Linked DNA regions of Styela clava. The protein of the gene in region 1 interacts with the protein of each later gene in a pairwise test. Links are inferred from orthologs where the notes say so. Each region holds a gene or a part of one and is shown on either strand. Other genes may lie near its edges.

Evidence for each region.
Region 2: the proteins of peroxisomal bifunctional enzyme-like (region 1) and catalase-like interact in a two-hybrid assay, tested with the Homo sapiens proteins (2 studies listed by BioGRID, with this or other methods). The link is inferred for Styela clava from reciprocal best matches to the Homo sapiens genes EHHADH and CAT.

Annotation. Positions count from the first base shown.
Region 1 is NC_135257.1:18,679,370-18,690,142, forward strand, and holds peroxisomal bifunctional enzyme-like, read right to left. Parts: upstream 4,245-10,773; 5' UTR 3,970-4,244; coding exon 1,783-3,969; 3' UTR 785-1,782; downstream 1-784. UniProt on the Homo sapiens protein: Peroxisomal trifunctional enzyme possessing 2-enoyl-CoA hydratase, 3-hydroxyacyl-CoA dehydrogenase, and delta 3, delta 2-enoyl-CoA isomerase activities. Catalyzes two of the four reactions of the long chain fatty acids peroxisomal beta-oxidation pathway.
Region 2 is NC_135255.1:1,208,016-1,218,403, forward strand, and holds the start of catalase-like, read right to left. Parts: upstream 5,052-10,388; 5' UTR 5,032-5,051; intron 4,411-5,031; 5' UTR 4,354-4,410; coding exon 4,294-4,353; intron 3,535-4,293; coding exon 3,442-3,534; intron 2,576-3,441; coding exon 2,497-2,575; intron 2,313-2,496; coding exon 2,202-2,312; intron 1,537-2,201; coding exon 1,406-1,536; intron 921-1,405; coding exon 816-920; intron 663-815; coding exon 537-662; intron 332-536; coding exon 197-331; intron 1-196. UniProt on the Homo sapiens protein: Catalyzes the degradation of hydrogen peroxide (H(2)O(2)) generated by peroxisomal oxidases to water and oxygen, thereby protecting cells from the toxic effects of hydrogen peroxide.

The sequences.
Region 1 (10,773 bases):
CTCTTTACAATTTCAATTTTGTTATGAAGTCAGTTCTCAATATATCTTAACCAGGTTTGTTATTGTTTTAATCAGTAATTGTTCAAGTATTTTTACTGCATTTGATACATCTGAGAAGGCCAAGACAATATTGTAATTTTAAAATATTTTAAGACTTAATGGATACCCTATATTAGGAGTTATTTACTAGGGATGCGGCGAGATTTCGTACGGTGAATTTTCCGGACCTGATTTACCAGATGAAGTATGTCGCATTTTAATGTAGCTTATGTAGTGGGTAGTAGTGGCAGAGGTATATTTATCAAATGAGGCAACTGTTGTGTCAGTGTGTTCGAATCAAAAGATAGCATGTTTTAAAATTCCACGACTGAATGAAACCCACTCAAAAAGAGATACAGCTACCTTTGAACACCACAAAATGGATAGGAATAAGCGTTGGCCATCCTACTGACACTTTCTAAAATGTAAAAAGGTTTCTTTTCTTCATATCAAAAATGGGTGCTCCAGAAGTGTGTGTACCAATATGGAGATAACTAATTTTGTTCGCCTATTTTACATAAAGTTATGTAAAGGTACTGAAACCTATGGACAGGGGGATATTCACCTAGTTAACACAGACAGTCGCCAAACTCGTAATAGAACTAAAATAAGGAAAATTTGTATAAAATTATGGCCCAACTAACCCTAACCTGGTACACATACTTCGGGGAGTACCCAAAAATGAGCACTGATTTCCACAACTGGGGTAGAACTCTAATAATGAGATAAAAAAAAAAATTGACTTAATTTTGATTTCAATTTTATTTCAGATATAAATTAAATTTTAATGATATATAATAAAAAATTATTGCATCGAAAAAAAAAGATCAAAAAGCTGCCATAAATCAATGAATAAGAAATTCAATAATATGAACCTAATTTTTGAATATAATGAAATTATAAATGCGTACAGATAGATGTTGGAATGCTGTAATCAAATTGCTGAGGGCGCATATCGGTATCGAATGCTTTAAACTAGATCGCCGGTTCTTAACCAGTGGGGCATGGTCCACAAATCTATTAAAATTGCTAGAGTTATTGATTGATAAATAATTTAATTTTGATTGTAGCAGCAATGAATGATGCTGTTTTCTGCTTCTGAGTAGTAATTTACATTTCAATTATAAAAGTGGAAGACTCTATATTTTTTATTTTTCTTGTAGTTTTTCCATTGCATGAGAAAGGTATTAAGGTTGAGAACCAACCACTGATCTATTTCAATGACTAAGATATACAATGATATGAATAGATATTTCAAATTTAATACTGATAGACTTTGGATAGACGTTATCAAATCGACACATTTTAGTATCAAGAGCTTAAACGCAGAAGGGCGAAACTTGAAAAAGGTGCCCTGAGAAAATGCACATTATTGATTTTCAAACTCCTGTAATTTTTAATTAAAAATTTTGGAGAATATGGCTTCAAATTATGCATAGATGCCAAATTGCAATCACGGCAAACTCCACATAAAATGGCAGAACAAAAATGAGAGAACATGGCAGTCCAGCATGCATAAAGGATCAAAGGGGGTACATAATGAAGATGTATAGCACTCAACAAAATTAGGCAGGCGACAGAGTCTGGTACTCTCAATAAAGCAAATGATTTATCCATGACGTTTCTGACTTAATATTCAACTTGATAAAAGCAAAAATAAACGAATTAAATTCGATATGAAGATTCAAAGATAAATTGCATTTAATTTCTAACAAAATTAAAGAATATGTTGTCATAGTGATATCACAGATTACTTTTAGTCTTGGTGGCGCTAGAGTACTGCATCCATTGGCTCATATCAAGATCCCCGCGTTTCTCCACGATGCGTTCTAGCATTGGACTAGGAGTCCACTGTGGCACCACATTTCCAAACTTTTCATAATAATGCTTTATACGAGCCAGAACTTTCGGAAGGCCAATTTTACTTGCATAGTGCATAGGACCACCGGTGTGACTTGGGAAAGCGTATCCGTGTATCCAGATCATATCTATATCCATAGGAGAGGCTGCGATTCCATCATCAAGAACTTTGAAACCCTCATTGACGAGAGCGAACACCAATCTTTCGATCACTTCTTCATGATCAATTTTACGCGCAGTAGCTCCAATACGACTCCGGTAATCGCTGATAATTTTCGACACTTCGCCTGACTCAACAGGAATTCTGCCGTTAGGGTAATCGTACCATCCTTTCTTCGTCTTAAGACCGTACCGTCCGACTTCTACAAGATAATCAGGCAATGGGCAGTATCTCAATCCACTTCGAACGTTCTCTTGGGTTCCAGGAATTTGCTGTTTTGGTGTCAACCCAAACGCAGTCCGCATACGATATCCAAGATCGAGGCCTGAAAGGTCATCCACAACATATGCCCCCATTGCGAATCCGTAATCTTTTACTGCTTTGTCGACTTCCACTGGCAACGAGCCTTCTTCGACGAGGTACCAGGACTCAGCTTTGTAATTAAAGTACATTCGGTTGGCAACGAAGCCGTAGCAATTACCAACAAGTACGGTGACTTTACCCATTCTCTTTCCCATGTCCATACAAGTTGCGATTGTCTCACTAGAAGTTTTCGATCCCATGACATTCTCCAAGAGGCGCATCAAGTTAGCTGGAGCAAAGAAGTGCATTCCCATCACCTTTTGGGGCCTTCTGGTAAAAGAAGCAATTTTGTCAATATCTAGAGCGCTGGTATTCGAGGCCAGTATCGCAGAAGGCTTGCAAGCATTATCCAGCGCTTTGAAAACTTTTTCTTTAAGTGAGATCTCTTCAAAAACAGCTTCAATGACTAGATCGACATTTTTTAAATCGTTATAATTCAAAGTACCAGTCACGGCCTTTTTCATCATTGCATTTTGCTGCTTAGTGATCTTTTGATGGCGTTCCATGTCGTCAATGAGTGCATGTACTGATTTCATACCAGCACTGAGAAACTTTTCGTTCATCTCTATAACAATAACTGGAATCCCAGCACGAAGGAAATTTATGACAATTCCTCGCCCCATTGTACCGAGACCAATAACGGCACCGAGCTTTACAGGCATAGGTTTGGAGTTATGCCATGATATATCACTTCCAGGAACGCTCCATTTTTGCACTTGTCTTTCTGCAAAGAATGCATACCTTAGAGCAATTGCTTGGCCAGATTTTCCCAGCATCGATATAATTTCAGATTCCTTTTTCAATCCTTCAGCCAGGGTGCTTTGCGCAGCATATCTTACAGCTTCTATGCAATAAATCGGGGCGTATTGACCTCGAGACTTTTTATGCACAATTTGCGTATATTTTGCTGCAATTTCATCCACACAGTCGGCATCTTTGACTCTTCTATCAGCTGATCTTCTTCCTAATAGAGACTTAGTCGCCACAATTCGAGCAAAAGCAATCGACTCTTTGATAACATCAGTCCCTTTCGAAATAATTCGATCAATAACGTCAAGTTTTGCTGCAGTATTGGCCGAGTACTGTTTTCCTGTAGTGATCCATTGCATTGCAGCATCTAGTCCAGCGATTCGAGGAAATCTCTGCGTTCCACCTGCACCCGGAAGTATTCCTAACTTTACTTCCGGGAAACCCACAACAGCATCTGAACTGGCGACTCTATAATGACAGGACAGCGCAATCTCAAAACCTCCACCAAGGGCGTAACCATGAATCGCAGCCACGACTGGTTTTCTACTGGCTTCAATCTCGTCACAGACATCGCCCAAATGTGTTTTGATGGAATCCCCTCCAAATTCTGAAATGTCAGCGCCGACTGAAAAATGTTTTTCGCTTCCACGTAAAACTATGGCTTCGACTGTTTGGTCATCCAAGGCCTTTTTTAAATACAACTTGATACCCGTCCTCACAGATTCGCTGAGTGGGTTCAATTTACCATTGCTTAGCTTTATAATCGCAATATTCCCATTGACTGAATATTCCGCCATAATATCTGTTTATCTATTATAACAAGAAGTAAATCCAGCTGCCAACTATACCGTTAACCCCACACAAAACAGTAGAACCGTCAGCTTGCAGAAGAGGCAGCAAACAACGTACATTCAGACATTACACAATCTTTGCTAACCCTACGCCGTCATGACACAGCTAAAATTACAGCAACGATGAACAGAACATACACATCGCATTCAAACCAGAACCTACACCTGCAGCAGACTGTTACGCTATACCTTATTTACTTAGGCGACTCGCTTGGGTGGTCTCTGTATAAGCTCGTTCTATTCCTCTATCATCGACAGCAGTGTAAGCGTCGCCCTAGGCATGTAAATTTACCGGCTTTCAAATGCGGCATTGTCTGCAGTCGTTTCGCTGTATGATTAACTGAACACCGGTATTTAATCAACCAATACTCACATTGTAATAAAGAGCTAACCCTTGAATATCCTACTCGCAGATTTGTTTTCTGTTTTTCAGGTCGTTCTGTGATGATCAATACAATGGCTAGTTTATTGAATAAAATGGTGTCTACAACAACAAAATTCGCAGGCTGATGTCTCATCCACGATAAACTTGAATCTATTACGCCACAATAATTAAATGAAGAAATGATCCTGTGAAATAACAATACTAATTCCTTTATTCCTAATTCCTTTATCTTTGCAGAAGTCAATATCTAAGAATGAAAAAAAAAACCTTATAACCTTAGCAACCAACATATTCATATACCCTATCTTTCTACCTTAATTAATTATAATTACTCATACTTATAAAGTTACTGATGGATTTAAATACTTATTGCAATCTGGACTACAATTTTTTTTTTTTTTTTTTTTTTTGTTTACATTTTTTTTTTTATTAATAAAAACATCACATTATCACAACACATTTATATAGACACAATAGCACAAATACAATTGCATTTTAAAAAAACGAGCACACAATAGTTTTCCACTTCTTATTATGGATTGACAGTTTACCATTTTTAGTTGCAATAATCTTTTCACAGTTTATAATATTTTTTATCATATATAAAAATTGGCAAAATTGAGGCCTTTCATTACGCAGTTTACATTTGTATATAAAATATCTGGCACATAATAAAACACAGTTTATACCCTGATTTTGCCCTACCCCCAATAACATTTCTCTATGTGTCAAATTGAAGTTTAATCCATACTCAACGGTTAGCCAAGCGTTAACTATTTCCCAAAATTGCTGCACAAATTCACAGAGATAAAATAAATGTAACACGGTTTCAACATGCATATTACAAAATGTACATTTTGGACTTTGTGTTTTATTTATTCTATATAGCAGGTCATTAGTGGGCACTGCTCGCAAGGCAAATTTGACATGGAATGAACGAAGTCTGGATTCAATAGAGCAATAAAAAACTTTTTCATACAATGTAAACCAATCATCTAAGTTCCTGCACAATTCTTTTGACCATTTTTCTATTTTTTCAGTTGGCGGCAAAATTTTTTCATTACAAAGCTTATCATAAATATATCGAGACGTTTTATCAATGCTTTTAATATCTTCGATAAGACTAAGATGTGGATTGACTGGTGAGGTTTTTGATAAATTAGTTTTCCATTGCTGGGTTATACATGATATAATTTTTAAATACGCTAGCATGTCATCATAAAAACTAGAAAAACAATAATGATGAAAAACATACGGAAACATTGCAAGTTGCTGATTAGAATCACAAATATCTTCAACGAAACAAATATATTTACTATTCCAATCATCCATATATAAAAGTTTTCCTTTGCAAGTTATATTTTTATTAAACCACAAAGGTTCATGTAAATGACTTACATCCCTAATAATCTTGGATTTGAAAATAAACCAATAGTACAGAGTATCTCTCAAACATCTGGAATACATATTTTTGATATACACTCCATGCGGATATACATTTCCATAAAATAAAGCCTTTCCTCCATACAAATTCAAGAAAAACATTTCTATGGATTTCCATGAGACATCAATTTCGTCATTTATTAAACATTTAACCCATCTTAATTTTTGACCAATGAGAAATGATTCCACATCAAGCATATTGACCCCCCCTTCCTTCACAGGTGCAATTAATGTCTTACGTTTTATTCTCTCCCATTTTGAACCCCATAAAAATTCATGGCATATCTTATTTACTTCCATTATAAAACTATTGGGCAGTATTACTGGTAAGATGGAAACTACATAAACCAATAAGCTCAACATCAAAGATTTAATCACAGTGATTTTTCCGAGGAAATCTAGATTTCTTTTGGACCATATTTGTGCAACCATTTTCAGTTTTTGAAGTTTTGGCAAAAGGTTCACAGTAAAAAGATCCGTATCATTTCCACACACATTAATGCCCAAAATTTTAAAACAGCTAGGGTTCCACTGAAGTCCTCGGTCTTGCATAGGAAAATTTTGCCAATTATTATTTGCACCCAGGTATAATGCTTGGCATTTATTCGTATTTATCTTGCACCCAGACATGGTAAAGAAATTATCGGTTTCAGAAAATACTGTTTTAATACTTTTTTGTGACCCATCACAATATACTGTTGCGTCATCTGCAAACAAGGAAATTTTAATTTCTGTATTTCCGAGACATATACCTTGTATATTATGGTCTACAATTTGGCAATAAATAATAGGCTCTAGTCTGGGCAATGAAGTGGTCTAGCCCACCTCTTCATGCACCCAATTCTGGCAACTTTGGTTGGGCATTTTGGCATTTGACTCCATCTATAATCAGCTTGACAATATATTTTTTTATAAAAGTGGATCTTTACTGTTCACTCCCATTTATAAAATTGATCAATTTGGCAGTGGCAATCATGATAAATTTATTAATATGGTGTGGCAAGTAATTTTTATTTATTTATTTTTTATTAACTACCAGTATGTAATTTTTCATGTTCCCTTTACTTAATAACTTCTATATGGTTGTGTGTGTGGGTGCGTGTGAGCGTGTGTGAAATATTTCAATTACTTTAGGTGAGTGAACACGTACCACATCTTCTTGGCAAAACCTTCCATCTTATATACATTCTGTACGTTTTAAACCTTATCTAAGGTTTTGTTCGCTCTCCTGATTTCATAATCAGTTTTTATTTATTTATTTTTAGCATTCATTTTATTGTTTTGCTGATTATGGAGTCGAAATAAACTTATACTTATATACTTAAGTAGTCGAATTCTAATAGTTGACACACTGGGTTCAACAACAGCTATTATTTTTCAAAGCGATCAGATCCATAGGTCAATTTAGCGTTAAGTAAGCGCATCTCCTTCAGGCCCTCTGCATTTTGTTTGTCCATTTGTTGTTGTTTTGTTTCTTTCAGAGTAACCGAAATAAAATTGATTGATCTAATAAAATCGACAAAACAACTCGACAAACAACAAATAGTTATTCATCAATTGATCCAGTTTGGACTGGACGTTCAAAAACTTCCATCCAGACTTTATTGAATTTCGCGTTGCACCAGTTTGGAAAATCAGAACAAACCATTTTTTTTCATAGACCTATCGAGTTGTCTGATCAAAAGTCGAAACATAAAGGTACGGCACGTTGGTAATATCAGGTACCTCACAGATGTATTTTGTTAAAGATAACACTGCAACATAATTTTATAGTAGACTAGATTTCATTTTTCATACACCAACGCAGGCTCAAGTTGTCGGATCAAGAGGCAAAACATACCGGTATTTACCACCCTTGCCCAGGCCTATCGCAAGTACTAGTAGTATCGCCACCAAAATATGATATGGTTGATGAATCAAAACATATTGATAACCATGTAGGCTAACTCATATAAATTCACGGAACCGCTACCTACCTGCCACGGAAAGTAGAAAATGATATAGAGGACTTGCACGGGTCACGTGACTTTGTTACTGGACGGCAATAAAACAAAAACGTCCATTTGGCTCCTGTCAGTTGCAAGTCGGATTATACGTTTCCGTTTTGTTTGGCTGTTGAAAATGGTTATTTCGTATTGTTCCGTTGGCTGTACGTATAGTATAGACAACGAAATGGATCTCCAGTTATATTCCACTGATTTCAAAAGATCCGGAACGTCGCGCAATGTGGATATCATCTATTGGCAGGACTGCTTGGTGTCAAGTTCAGAAGCCTTCTCACTTGTGTTTCACTGTTTGCGCACTTCGTTGATGGTGAGTGATAATGTGGTGATAGTGTGCCGTTATCAATTTTTTTAAATATTCACAAGATCCCTCATTTCAATGGAAAGCAGATGACAAACTACTGTTTTTAGTAGGCCTAGGCATGGGCCTACTTGCAGTTGCAGACTTGACTTGTGTAAGACAGTAAAGAATTAATAATCAATTGCTATAAGGTATTGTTTCCCTAATTAGCAAGTAATCTATTACTAAGTGTGAAAGGTTGAATAGATAACTAAAGTTTAACACCAGTGGTCATGCAAAAAATAACCAGAATTCAATTGAATTCGCCATCTAGGAATACGCTCGCCACCGCCTCTCTGATCACCCTGGTAGTTTCACAGGTTTCGATCCCATGCGGGGATAGTTATGTGCGAGAGGATTGCAGCTCATACTCCCACCGAGGGTGGTTCACATGACCGCTGATCGGTTACGACCATTCCCCACCATCCAAGTCCATGCTTCTGAAAACAAATAACTGGCTCCCCCCAGATAAATCCTATCCTAATGGTGCTTGTACAACTGATCCATAGTGTCTTTTTATTGTCATTGTTAAAAAAGATATGCTACCCGGAATCAAATTCATTTACGACTAGTGGCTGTGGTGGGCTATGGACATAAATTTCACACTCCTTGATCGTTAGAAATCATGAAAACTCTATCTGTATCCATTATCTTACAGATATGGGTGCGACCATGGAATAGATGGATGGTAAAGTATAAGTTGCAACAAGACCACAGTGACACAAGACCTCAGCTTGCGTGACTTGATAATACATCCTCAGTATCCATTTATTGATGCTTATCGTAATGACAAAGTAACTCGTGATTACTGTGGATTGGTGGAGATAAAGTGTCCATTGGGCTTTAACGAAAGCAACTTCAAGACGACCCTATCAAGTAAAAAAAAATTATTTCGGTGGGTCTGGTAGTAAAGGTTTTAGTCTAACGTTGGACACCGATACTACAACCAGATACAGTTGCCAATGAAACTTTCCGCGGCGTAATATTGCGACTTTGTGATCGGAAAGAAAATTCTGATGGGTAGCCGGCTAGCCGCAACCTTTTGTTTAAAGAATATTATGAGATATGACTTAAAAGTCTAAACTTTTATTTGAGAGCTAATTTGCAAATGGTATTCATGGTACCAAATTTATCACACACTTTACAGTAATTATAAATTATATTTGAAAAATAAAGCACATCAAAAATGTATTTTTAAAAAACAATTGGTTTTATCTGCAGATACTAGGTTGATATTGAGATTGACCATTTCAATGCTAAATTTTCTTTAGTCAAAAGGCACACTTGATTCGCAAAGATTTGTGAATGCGCACAGTACACCAATTTGTCTAATGTTTTGATTCCATAGGCAAGAGGTTGTGGATCGGTGCTGCTCAGGATGGGATATTTTGCCTCTAAATGCATATTACGTGTTTCACATGAATCCATCGTGCTCAGATTCGACTGTTTTCAAAGTCTGAAGGCTCCAACAGCCTTATTTTATGGGTACACAAGAGAATTTTCAGTGTGGCATGCATGGGTCAGTTGGAGTCACTAACCTCAAGATATCTATAAGCAAGGATAAGATAACCTGGAAGTAACATTCCATAATTTAGAGTAAAAAATGTATCTGCCTCCACAGCCTGTTCAAATAGAAGATATGATGCCTCGGCGGTAATTTCTATCAAATATTTTACAGTATTATGGTTCTAGTGAAAAGGGGTGTAGGCGGCTTTTTGTGTCTAGTCGAAGGTCTTTTAGATCTAGTCGAAAGACACATTAAATGTTTATGCTAACAACTGCAAATTAATATTGCAACGCATACAAGTTAACAGAATTTGTTGAAATGGTCCTGCCTTTTGCCTTTCTTCAAAATCCACCTTTTTCTAACTATTCTCTTCCTCTCTGGGGATGGCGAAAATTCAAATATCGATGTGACATATAAGCAGCTGATAATGGGTTATCTTCGCTTTTTCCTGAAAATAAATTAAACACTAATCATCATTTGACAGTGCCAAGTTTGTGTATCAGATCAGTAATAAATTACCTGCTAACTAACGAAACAATCAGACAACACCTTCTGACCATTAATGAAGCTTTCTTTCAATTTAAAACGCAACTATGCCTACCAATGTGGGTAGTTTTTAGGATAGAATTTATCTGTGGTTGGGGACAGATTGCAAGGTGCAACATCGTACGATTACCATTCTATGTCGGGATTAGTTAGCCAGTTATTTGTTGTAGAAGCATGGACTTGATGATGGGGGATGTTGTAATCGACCAGCGGTCATGTGAACCACCCTCAGAGTGGGAGGAGAGCTGCAATCCCCTCGCACATAACTATCCCCGCATGGGATTGGAACCTGTGAAACTCCCAGGGGGATCAGAGATGCGGTGGCGAGCGTTTTCTTAGATGGAGAATTCAATTCTGGTTATTTTTGCATTAGCACTGGCGTTAAACTTTAGTTATCTATTCAACTTTTCACACTTACTAATAGATTACCTGCTAACTAGGGAAACAATACCTTATGGCAATTATTGATTAATACCTTACACGAGTCAAGTCTGCAAGTAGGCCTACGCCTAGGCCTACCAATAAC
Region 2 (10,388 bases), on another chromosome or scaffold:
TCGTTTCGAGTCGTTGACATTTCAAACTCTGGAATTTCAATTCTAGGTAAGCGCTGCCCGGGATGCTATTTTGACAATAAACATTTCATTTTATACCTTTTTCAAGGTACAGTACTACCTTGATGGATTGGATTTTGTACATACTATAATATTCCATCATGATTGGTTAAAGTACTTTTTTATAATTCTACTTTACCTGAATCTTGAAAGTCCATGATGGGAAATTTCCTTCGCTAATGGCATTGAAGAGATCTCTGTTGGCATAGTCTGGGTCACTTCCTGCAAGTTCATTTGCCTTATCAGCCATCAGATTTTTGATGCCTTGGTCACACTAAATAAAAAGGCTCATTGAATTTTTTATTTTACACTGATTTTATTTAATCGTTTCATCATATTTCAACAAAAAAGATATACAATAAAGAATTTGCTTCAACTCTCCATTCTGTAAAATTAGAATTGAAAACTTTCGCATTGCAAAATAGGTGTCCATAGAGTTTACATCTAGTTAATCCATAAAGAATTACAAATAAAAAAACCTTGAAGTGGAATTTGCAGTAGATTGGTTTTCCATCCTTATTGACCATCTTGAATGTGTGACTTCCATATCCATTCATGTGGCGATATCCATCAGGAGTTCCTCTGTCACTGAACAGGAATGCAACCTGACAATGATTAAAAAAGTGAAATTCTGATTTCCTCTCACCGATATGTCTATAATTATAACTTCTCTGTTCTCTATTTATTTCTAAAAATTATCCTTATTTATTCATTTTTATTTTATATGATGACTTAATAAATAGTATTGTTAATGATACCTGGTGAGTCGTCTCTGGACGAAGTGAAATGAAATCCCAAAACATATCTGGATCTTTAAGATGAGTTTGAGGATTTCTTTTCTGAGTGTGAATGAACGATGGGAACTGGAAAGGAAAAATTCAAAGGGTAATAAATGCTGTGTTAAATCTTTGTTCAAATCCGAAATATTTAATAATCTGTGCTATCGATTGGGTTTCTACGATACTAACTACTTCTTCATCTTCTATGTTTCCGCGCCGGTGGATCGGTATGCATATAATGCGAGGATGCTGTTGCATAACTATCCTAAGTGATTCAAGAGTTTTGCTGCACACTAATACAAATTTATTTTTGTAACGTTTCATCTGATCAATGTCAGACTTCCTCAGACATACGTAGTTCACAGTTGAACTATTGGCAATAGACAATAGTGTCTGAGGAAGTCTGACCTTGGTCAGACGAAACGTTACAGAAATATATTTACGTTAGTGTGCAGCAAGACTCTTGAATCACTTAGGTTATTCAATAATCAATAGAATCATATACATCAAATCATCTTACATCATATCAAATAATAGTTGATAAATATCTAGTAAAAAACAAAACTCACAAAGATGGGATCTCTAATGAAGAAGATAGGTGTATTGTTACCAACCAAATCCCAATTACCATCCTCAGTGTAAAATTTTACTGCAAATCCACGAGGATCTCTGGCAGTATCTGCACTTCCAGCTTCACCCCCTTTGAATGATAATTAGATGTTTAGAATTTTACTCATACACTAACATATGAAAAATAAATATTGCAATGTACACTGGTATATTCTACTTGGGGTATGTCAAAAATATGTATCTAGAATTTTCAAACACAATTTTTTTTTTAATCCAGGCATTTTGATTTCATTCAATAAATACAAACTCAAAAATACATTCAAATATATTTGATGCTTTCACTGAATACATTTACGGTATGTGCATTTTCGAAATTGCAGTCAATACGAGAAATTCAATTATGCAATAAAATAATAATATGCCAAAATTACAAAACTGAACGAGACAATGCATCTGAGCGTGATGAGACAAAATTACGGTAATATAATATGCAAAACAGGAAGAACTTTTCAAAATATTGATAATAAGCAGCAGTACGCAGTAGTCTTGAACATCCTACTAGTTGCTATTTAAGCCTGATTTTTAAGTAGTAACTCACTAAAAAGAACAAACGTTATTAGTGTGCTACAATGAAAATTTCACAAGGATATAGACAATACTATTCATAATTGTAAAGGCTACCAGCACAAAATACAATTGCATTCAAATACATTGAATCCAGTACAATTTGAAAATTGTGAATCGTGTATGTTTCACTACTGTATTTAAATTTCGATATATATGAAAATACCTCACCCACAGTTGAGAATCGAACAGCAAGTGGAGTTCTTTTTCCAACCTTTTCAAATATCTTAGCTTTGCAGTACTTTGTGATGTCATGGGTGACTTCGAAATACCCTTTGGCACCTGTTATAAATCAATTGAATTAAATCTACGGCAATTGCAAGAAAGTAAAAACATGGATGTTTGATTTTATGCACAGACAATTTATATCAAAAACAATATTTGAAAAAATTGAATTTGAAAATGACATGTGGTAATGACAAACAGCTTTATATATTTTCACTTTAAATAAAACTAAAGTATTCACCTCCTCCTTTAGCATGCACAACACGCTCCGGAATTCTTTCTCGGTTGAAGTGTGCCATCTCATCAGTGAATGCAAAATCCTATAAAATAAAATTTGATCGTAAAATAATAATTCAAATATTATGACGCGAGGGATGTTACCTGTATATTCGGATAAGGGAGTCAAAATAACCAATATATTGTATTCGTTAATATAGGCCCTATTGAATAAATACGAGAGTGAGACATATCGCAGAATGAGAACAGAAGGGGCCTAAGTCACATTTTTGCAAAATTCACTTTTTTCAATATTTTGGGGTTTTGAGCCATGCTCTACACGGTGGTGGTCTTGAAATCCTGAATTTTCTCAATAATAAAAATTTAAGCTGGACTTAGGCCTGTAGAAGTTAAGAACAGAATGGGCCTAAGTCCAGCTAAAATTTTTAATATTATGAAATTCAGAATTTCAAGACCACCACCTTGTAGAGTATGGCTCAAAACCCCAAAATACTAGAAAAAGATAGTCCCAAGTTCCAATATGATGGGCATGAACATCAGAAATGAAATGTCCGAAACTAACATCCCTAAAAATTTCTTCAGTGCAACCTAGGCCTAAGTCACCTTGTTTTACCTTGCATCCCATACAAAAAAATTCAGAAGTTGTTGAGAACAGAATGGGCCAAAGTCCATTATGGGGTTAAAAAAGCAGGAAGGAATTGAAGCTGAAGTGCCAAAAAATATTGATTACAAAGATATTCACATCCACATTAAAATAACCAGAGCTCAGGTCTTTACTAAGTGTGAATATCTAGAAATTCAAAAATAAAAAAATTCCAAATTGTTTTGTACGTTTTTCTCAAAACTCAAAATTGTGACTTAGGCCTGTTCTGTTCTCATCCGGCGATATATTAAGTTTTTCAATGTATAAAAAATATATAAGGATTCGACAAACACCATCAAAGAATACCTGCAAAAGCATTGGCCCTCTTGGTCCAACCGTCATTGACTGCAACTTCTGGTCAATTGGTGCCCCAGTGCTGGAGGTAAGAGCTCCACCATTCTAGACAAAACAATTATATACATATAATTAAGGTTCAAAACCATGAGCACGAAAAAATTTTAAGGATTGTTTTTGTATATTATCAAGTGTTCTGTTGTATCATTAAGTTTTACTCACAGTGAGCACAAAATTAAGAGAATTATATTGATAGATAATCCATATGGGCAGTAATATAGGCAACGGAAGCATAGCATCATGTAATATGTATATCCTGCAATTTACCAACTTCCGAAGATATCATATAGCTTAATTTCCTTTTCAACTGGCGAAAGGATGTATGAGCAGCATAACTAGTATCTAAACTAATCATACCAATATATGGATTAGTATCCCCATTGTTGGATATTTCGTAATTCTGACTTGAAATCATTTTCAATTTTGAATTATAAGTAGATTTATTACAGGAAAATCATTTTTTTCAGTAAAATTCAACATAACCTAACTTTCCATACAATAAAAAATTAATGTTAATTTCAAGGAGAGAGTCTCCAATGATCATGAATTGTCAAAATTATGAGGTGTGAGATAAACACTTAAATTACAATTTTGATTCGAAATTTTTTTGCTTTCTCACACTGGCATCATAAGGCTCCAGACAAGTATTGACTAAGATTTACTTAAAAAAAATATTACTTTCATAACAATATTCATATTATAGCTGTAAATTTTTGCATTGTTGACAATATCAGAATATTTGAAAAGCCAATGACTGAAACCTGGAAACATGACAATTATACAAGATTAAAACATAAAACAAACCTTTGTGGCTGTGGCATATTCTTTCAATTGGTCAGCAGCTTTAGATCGTGGGGATGCCATGTTGTTCTTTAAAGAGCTCGTTTAGTAATATAAGATTTACAGGTTTTCGTTATTGATCTGATAAAATATGTCAAAATAAACAATGTTTAAAGTACCGGTAGACTATATCTATTTCTGTACTTCATTTCACTATTTTATATTTAAGATTAATTCAAAAACATCTCTTTATATTAAAATAAAAGTTATTGAATGGAAGAGAGTGATCATGACGGCAATAGTCTACTGCAATATGATGTAAATTTATAACAATATTAGAGTGCAGCATCAAAGAAAGAGAGAGAAATTTTATTCCCACAATCACACAATGTCAGCATTCAGACATTCTAACAAATTAATATAGAACATGTTCATATCTGTCTGTAGGAACATCACGTAGTCGAATTGTCAGACGCAAATTTTGTCTACTGCGGCGATAGCAAAGGGTACCGTATTCTAGAGAACGAACCAGCAATAACGAAATAATCAGTTAAATATTAACCTTATTCACAAACTTTGTGTATGTTACAAACTGGCACAAAATCACGCGAATAGCCTATACAGTGCGATACTTGTTTGATACCAGCTAATTATTTAACTCTGCTTGGTTCTACAATAACAGAATAACAACTCATGAAATACGATATCCATGCAAACACGCATAATCTTATCTTTTTCTTTTCACAAATAAAATCGACTTACTGACTTATGATAACCCAGCTCCTATACCTTCATATCTATCATTTATCATTTAACGATTTAACGGCAAAGACCTGAAGTTATTTGAATGCAGCTCCCATGCAGTGCACGCCATATATATATACCGAAAACTAAGCCATATTTTCCTTGTAGTTCAGCGAGACGGGGAAAAAAATCTCCAATGTAGCGATGCAGAAATTTGCTGATTCATTGCACGTGCGATCATGCGCATTAGTAAGTTGGTTACATCAATCATGTATGGGCCATTAATAAAAATATTGCGCGATTCTCGAATTTTGCAACGCGATATCCCTTCTATTGGGTAGACTGAGTTCAGATAAGACTATGCATTCCTTACATAACAAACACGCACGTGAACTAAACAGCGATGTAAAAAAAAATGACAGAATACCCGAGAAAAAAAGATTTTGAAGCTACCATGAACGCAACCGCACAATAAAAAAAGCGGATAAATGAGAAATAACTGAAAAACATAAAATTCAAAAAAAATATTGAATATTCTTAGTATACTCTAGCCAATCATCAAATTATTTATATTGTTATATATAATTTTCATAGGCAATTTTAATATTATCAGCCCATTTTTCAATGAGTCGAACTCATTTGCGCTGCACTTTCACGTTCATATCAATAACATCGGTGGTACCTACACACGAGCGTCGGGTGATATTTACCACCATCACTTTCGAGTGCGATACAAAGCTAGCCGCAATGGAATTTTGTTGAACCTAGTCACAGCTAACAATATGCCTAATCCCTTTTGTTTTTAATATATAATATACATATTTGCTTTGTGAACAATTTGCATATAGATGCACTCTCGTGAATAAAAATGATAATTCACGATTGCACTTTCATCCTATCAATAAAAAGAACAAGAATAACAAGAACAACAACAACAAAAATACCAAAACGACCCATAGGTCCACTACGTGTCTAATAATACATATGGCTATGGCATTTTGGTTCAAACAAAGACTGTTAAGGTCGTAACTCAAAACGTGCAGATACAGTGATTTCCCTACACCCCCCCTATAGGGGGTGAACACCCCCCCTAAAATTTCAAACACCCCCCCTAATTTTGAGGTGCGATTCCACACTGAGGGGTTCTAAACCGCAGTCTGCGGGCCAACTACGGCCCGCGTGACGATTTAAAATGGCCCGCCGAACTTGAGTGAAATAGTTTAACCCTTCATGTGGTACCTTTCCAGTTTTAGATACCATCTATTGTTACATCATTATCACAGTTTAAGCACGTTCATTTCGTAACAATTGGATTATTCCGGTATCTTATGTATAGGTATGGGTATTATGATTACACACTGCATTATTTTAGATATCAGCCATATATTAAGAAAGCTTAAAGATGTCACAAAACAAAAACTAGGCACTGAAAACAGACGTTTTTTAGATGAATGACAGCGTTTTTATTTCTTTATTGAAAAGAATCAAACTTCAGCGATTTGTTTTCTTACAAAATATTTCAGTTGTGAAGGAATACAACATAGCGACATTATGATCAGTTGACGAGCGTATTTCAAAATTTAATTCATACAAAAGTCAAACAAACATGTTCAAAAAAATTAGAAATGTGTAACAAAACAAGCCATAAGTAGCCATTCATACAATGCCAGATGAGCGAGTAACTTCATTAGTCACTATCAGTTGCAAATTACTTGTTGAAACGTAGTAGTATATATTTACGGTTGAAAGCCGTGCTTGTTATCTATTCCTCGGGAATTCTATCAGCTAAATTTTATAAATATTGATTTTATTGCATAACAAACTGCGATGCTATGTGTATCTAAAATCAAGCTTAGAGCCTATTTTGGTGCCTATTTCTCAAAATTTTCTCAGGGCGCTTGAGCGCGCCCTGAACCCCAGCCGTGTCGTCCCGCACTTTTCCTTGCTCCCCTTTTCTGGCCCTACAATTTCATTCTGCTGTGGATTTTGGCTGGCCGTCAATCAACTTGGGGGGCCCCCATGTACATCGTTTCTTAAATACATACCATTTTTTTTAAGAATACAAATAGCCTAGTTTTATCTCTAATAGCAAATTATTTACCACCCCCTAAATTTTTAAACACCCCCCCTAAAGAGAAAAGCTGGGGAACATACTGTGCAGATACTTTAATGCGCCCTATCATGCTTTTGTTTTATCGCATGTACGTACCGTAATTCTATTACAGTATTTCATCAGTTTTTTTTTCTGAGAATCTCGCATGCCCTTTACCTAACGGGCGGCTGCTCAGAACGGGAAGTCATGATGAAACGTACGGCATCAGTCCGCTATTCCTAAAAAGACCAATCCCCGCCATCAGTTCAACTAATTGCAGGGAATTTTGAAACTTCGCCGACAAGTTCAGAACATAGCACTGTGTTAGAAGTCAACGGTCCTGCTTTGATTTGGGTGTATGTATCCATCCAACACAAGAGCTTTGGCAATCTTATGTGTGATAACGGTTCAACCGGAATTCAATTTCTCATATATACCGGTATGTATTTTTATAATATATATATGGCAAGAAATAAGTATTGAATCTAGAAATTCACGTCAAGATCTCCTCAAAAAATATTCGACGTGAATCGTTTTCAATAAACACTGCTCAAGGTGCATAGGTATTTTGCTTAAAAACAGCCCTTTTATGTTTTCTGAAAACATGCATTAATTCGTCAACAATTTGTATTGTTAAGTTCATTTCATATGATAGAGCTTAATTGTAGCTGAATTTTATTTGGCCATGTCTTTGCACCTATGATGTATCTTTTAAATATTTTTAATCAAAATCACGTTAACCGTTAGCGGTACCAAGTCTTAGCGAATATTTTGATTACTTGCTAAATTGTTCATCCTATTTTTAAGAATATTTGTGGCCTCCGTTTGAACCTGATAGCCTTTTAGAGAATAAAGATTTTTCTCTGATATTTTAAGATTTATCTGACATACAAAAAGTGTCTTGTCACTGATACAGTGCAGATATGCGTAATTGGCGAAAAACCATCAACAAAATGACCAAGCACTTCTAATATTGATAATTGCTCTAGGTGACGTCAAGAATTGATCAATTAATACATTCACGCTTACTAGTGGATTACTAAGCATCATCGCCCATCGGTGATTTCTTGTTTTCACGGACATTTGGGTTTAAAATAAATTTATGCTTCCTACCGTATAATAAGAAATCATGCTTAGGTGTGTAGATGAAAATTTGGGTATATGTTTGGGTAATACACTTAAACTGCGCTTTGTTGGTACTGAGATATGACTTATATATTAATGTAAATGTGGGGAAATGTAATATGCTTCAGAATTTCATGTTACCCAAATTTGTCGTTAAAATCCAATCCTTCTTGAAAAACAATAGATATATATCTACTTTACATTAAAACATTCGCAGAACCAGGTTCGACAGTTTGAAATATATATATATATATATATATCTAATACGGTAGTTAAGTAGACATACCGTGCTAAAAAAGCGACAGTTATGTAGACGGAAAAATTGGGTAGACATTTTCCTGTCCGCTTAATTATTCCACGTTCCATAATTAAAACGTTTTGCGATATTTTGCTGAAATCTCTTTTTCTCTGATAAAACAGTATCACAAATAATATGTTCTTTCAATATTTTTTAAATTAGTGCACATTTTCGCCAACTTTAATGGGACAGTAGTTCTGCTGGTTTATAATCAACGGGTTTAATTTTCGTACATAAAGTGGACATTTTATTTATTCAAAAATCTTTTAATTTTTCGGTATATGTTTTTACGATTTTTGGAGAGTAGGTTTGATAATTTTGATACAATAACCAGGCAGAACATGAAGATCGTCCGTTTTGTTTTTTGCAATATAAGCTCAATAAACTGTAAAGGACCCCAATTCACAACTCCGTACTAAAGAGGCTTTGTGTCGCAATAGTAAAACTGTCGGGTTCGCCGAGAACTTTACCACGTTTGCCGTTTTGTTCGCAAGTAACCTGGACGCCGTGAGGGGATTGGGATCTTCATGAGTGCGTGATTGCCGAAATTTAGATAAAATAGAACAGTTGTGTTTGGAGAAGCGATCCAAGTCTTTTGTGTCAGGTGTTATCAGTTACCCAGTGAGTTGAAGTCGAGTCATAATAAGCAAGGATTTCAACGTCACCGAGGAATGCTGCTGGAAATCATCACTCATCGGATAAGGTGATTAGTCATAACGATTTTTAATACTAGGGTTACTATATTTTTGGTGTTGAGATTTTTCACGTAATCCAGATTATCAAAATATAGACTACTGATACTGTTATGCTTTTACTGGTCGTAGTTCTGATCTGACCATCAAAATAATGCTACGACTGGGTTTGCGTTTGTAAGAGTGTGTAATTCAGAAGGATTTCTAAATCCTGATGAAAATACAAACGAAGATTGTGGAAATTCAATGAATTCAATTTTTTGTCGAAACAGAAGGATATACGAGAAGCGAGTAATTGACGTTTGTATAGCTTGGTGTAAATAAAAATATCTAATACACCGCTTCATATTAGATTAGAATATTTCATCTTCGGAAAACAGTTTTGAAGAATTGCATTGCTAGCAATTTTGTTTTGTGATTTGGCACATGTCCCTGTGTTATTTTACCATCTTCATCTAGTTATTCACCGGGCTGTATTTTTTTGTTCACATGTAGGTGACTCTCCAACGAGATGGCCTACGTTTCAGAACTTGGCAGGCGGAAATGCGGGTAGTGATTCGGAGGAAGCTGTGCCAGGAGGTGACTAAATGAGTTTGCTATGCTTGTTTTTTTATTAAATACAGTATCGTAAATTGATACCAATGAATGGTAATAAACCAAATCATAATATCATTTGTAGCCCATCACAAATAGCGCAGCTATCTACGAATAATTGTAGTGCACCGTTTAGAAACTCTGGTTTATTTGAGTAATAATGCAATTATCCATTTCAAACATTTCGTTTGTTCGATCAATCAAGAGTAGCGTAATTCTGAATTGGACTAAAACACTGTGATGATGTTTTGTGACTTATGCATGTATATTTGACCAAAGTTTCAGATAAGTCAACAGACTATACCGCACCATCTTCAGAATCACTTTCAATAAGCAATGTAAGTGATTTCAAAGAAAACAATATATATGGAAAAGAAAAAGGCTGTAAATCAATTAAAAAAAAGCTTCTAAACAAACGCGAACCAGAAAAGAAACGACGAAAAGAAAAATAATTGCACGGATGGGTATATCTTGCGAGAAGTTTAATGTAAAGCTTTAAGACATATCTGTATAATGCATAAAGATGAACCGGCAGTGAGCATAATCTTGTCTCTGCTCAACAACTTAACCTAGT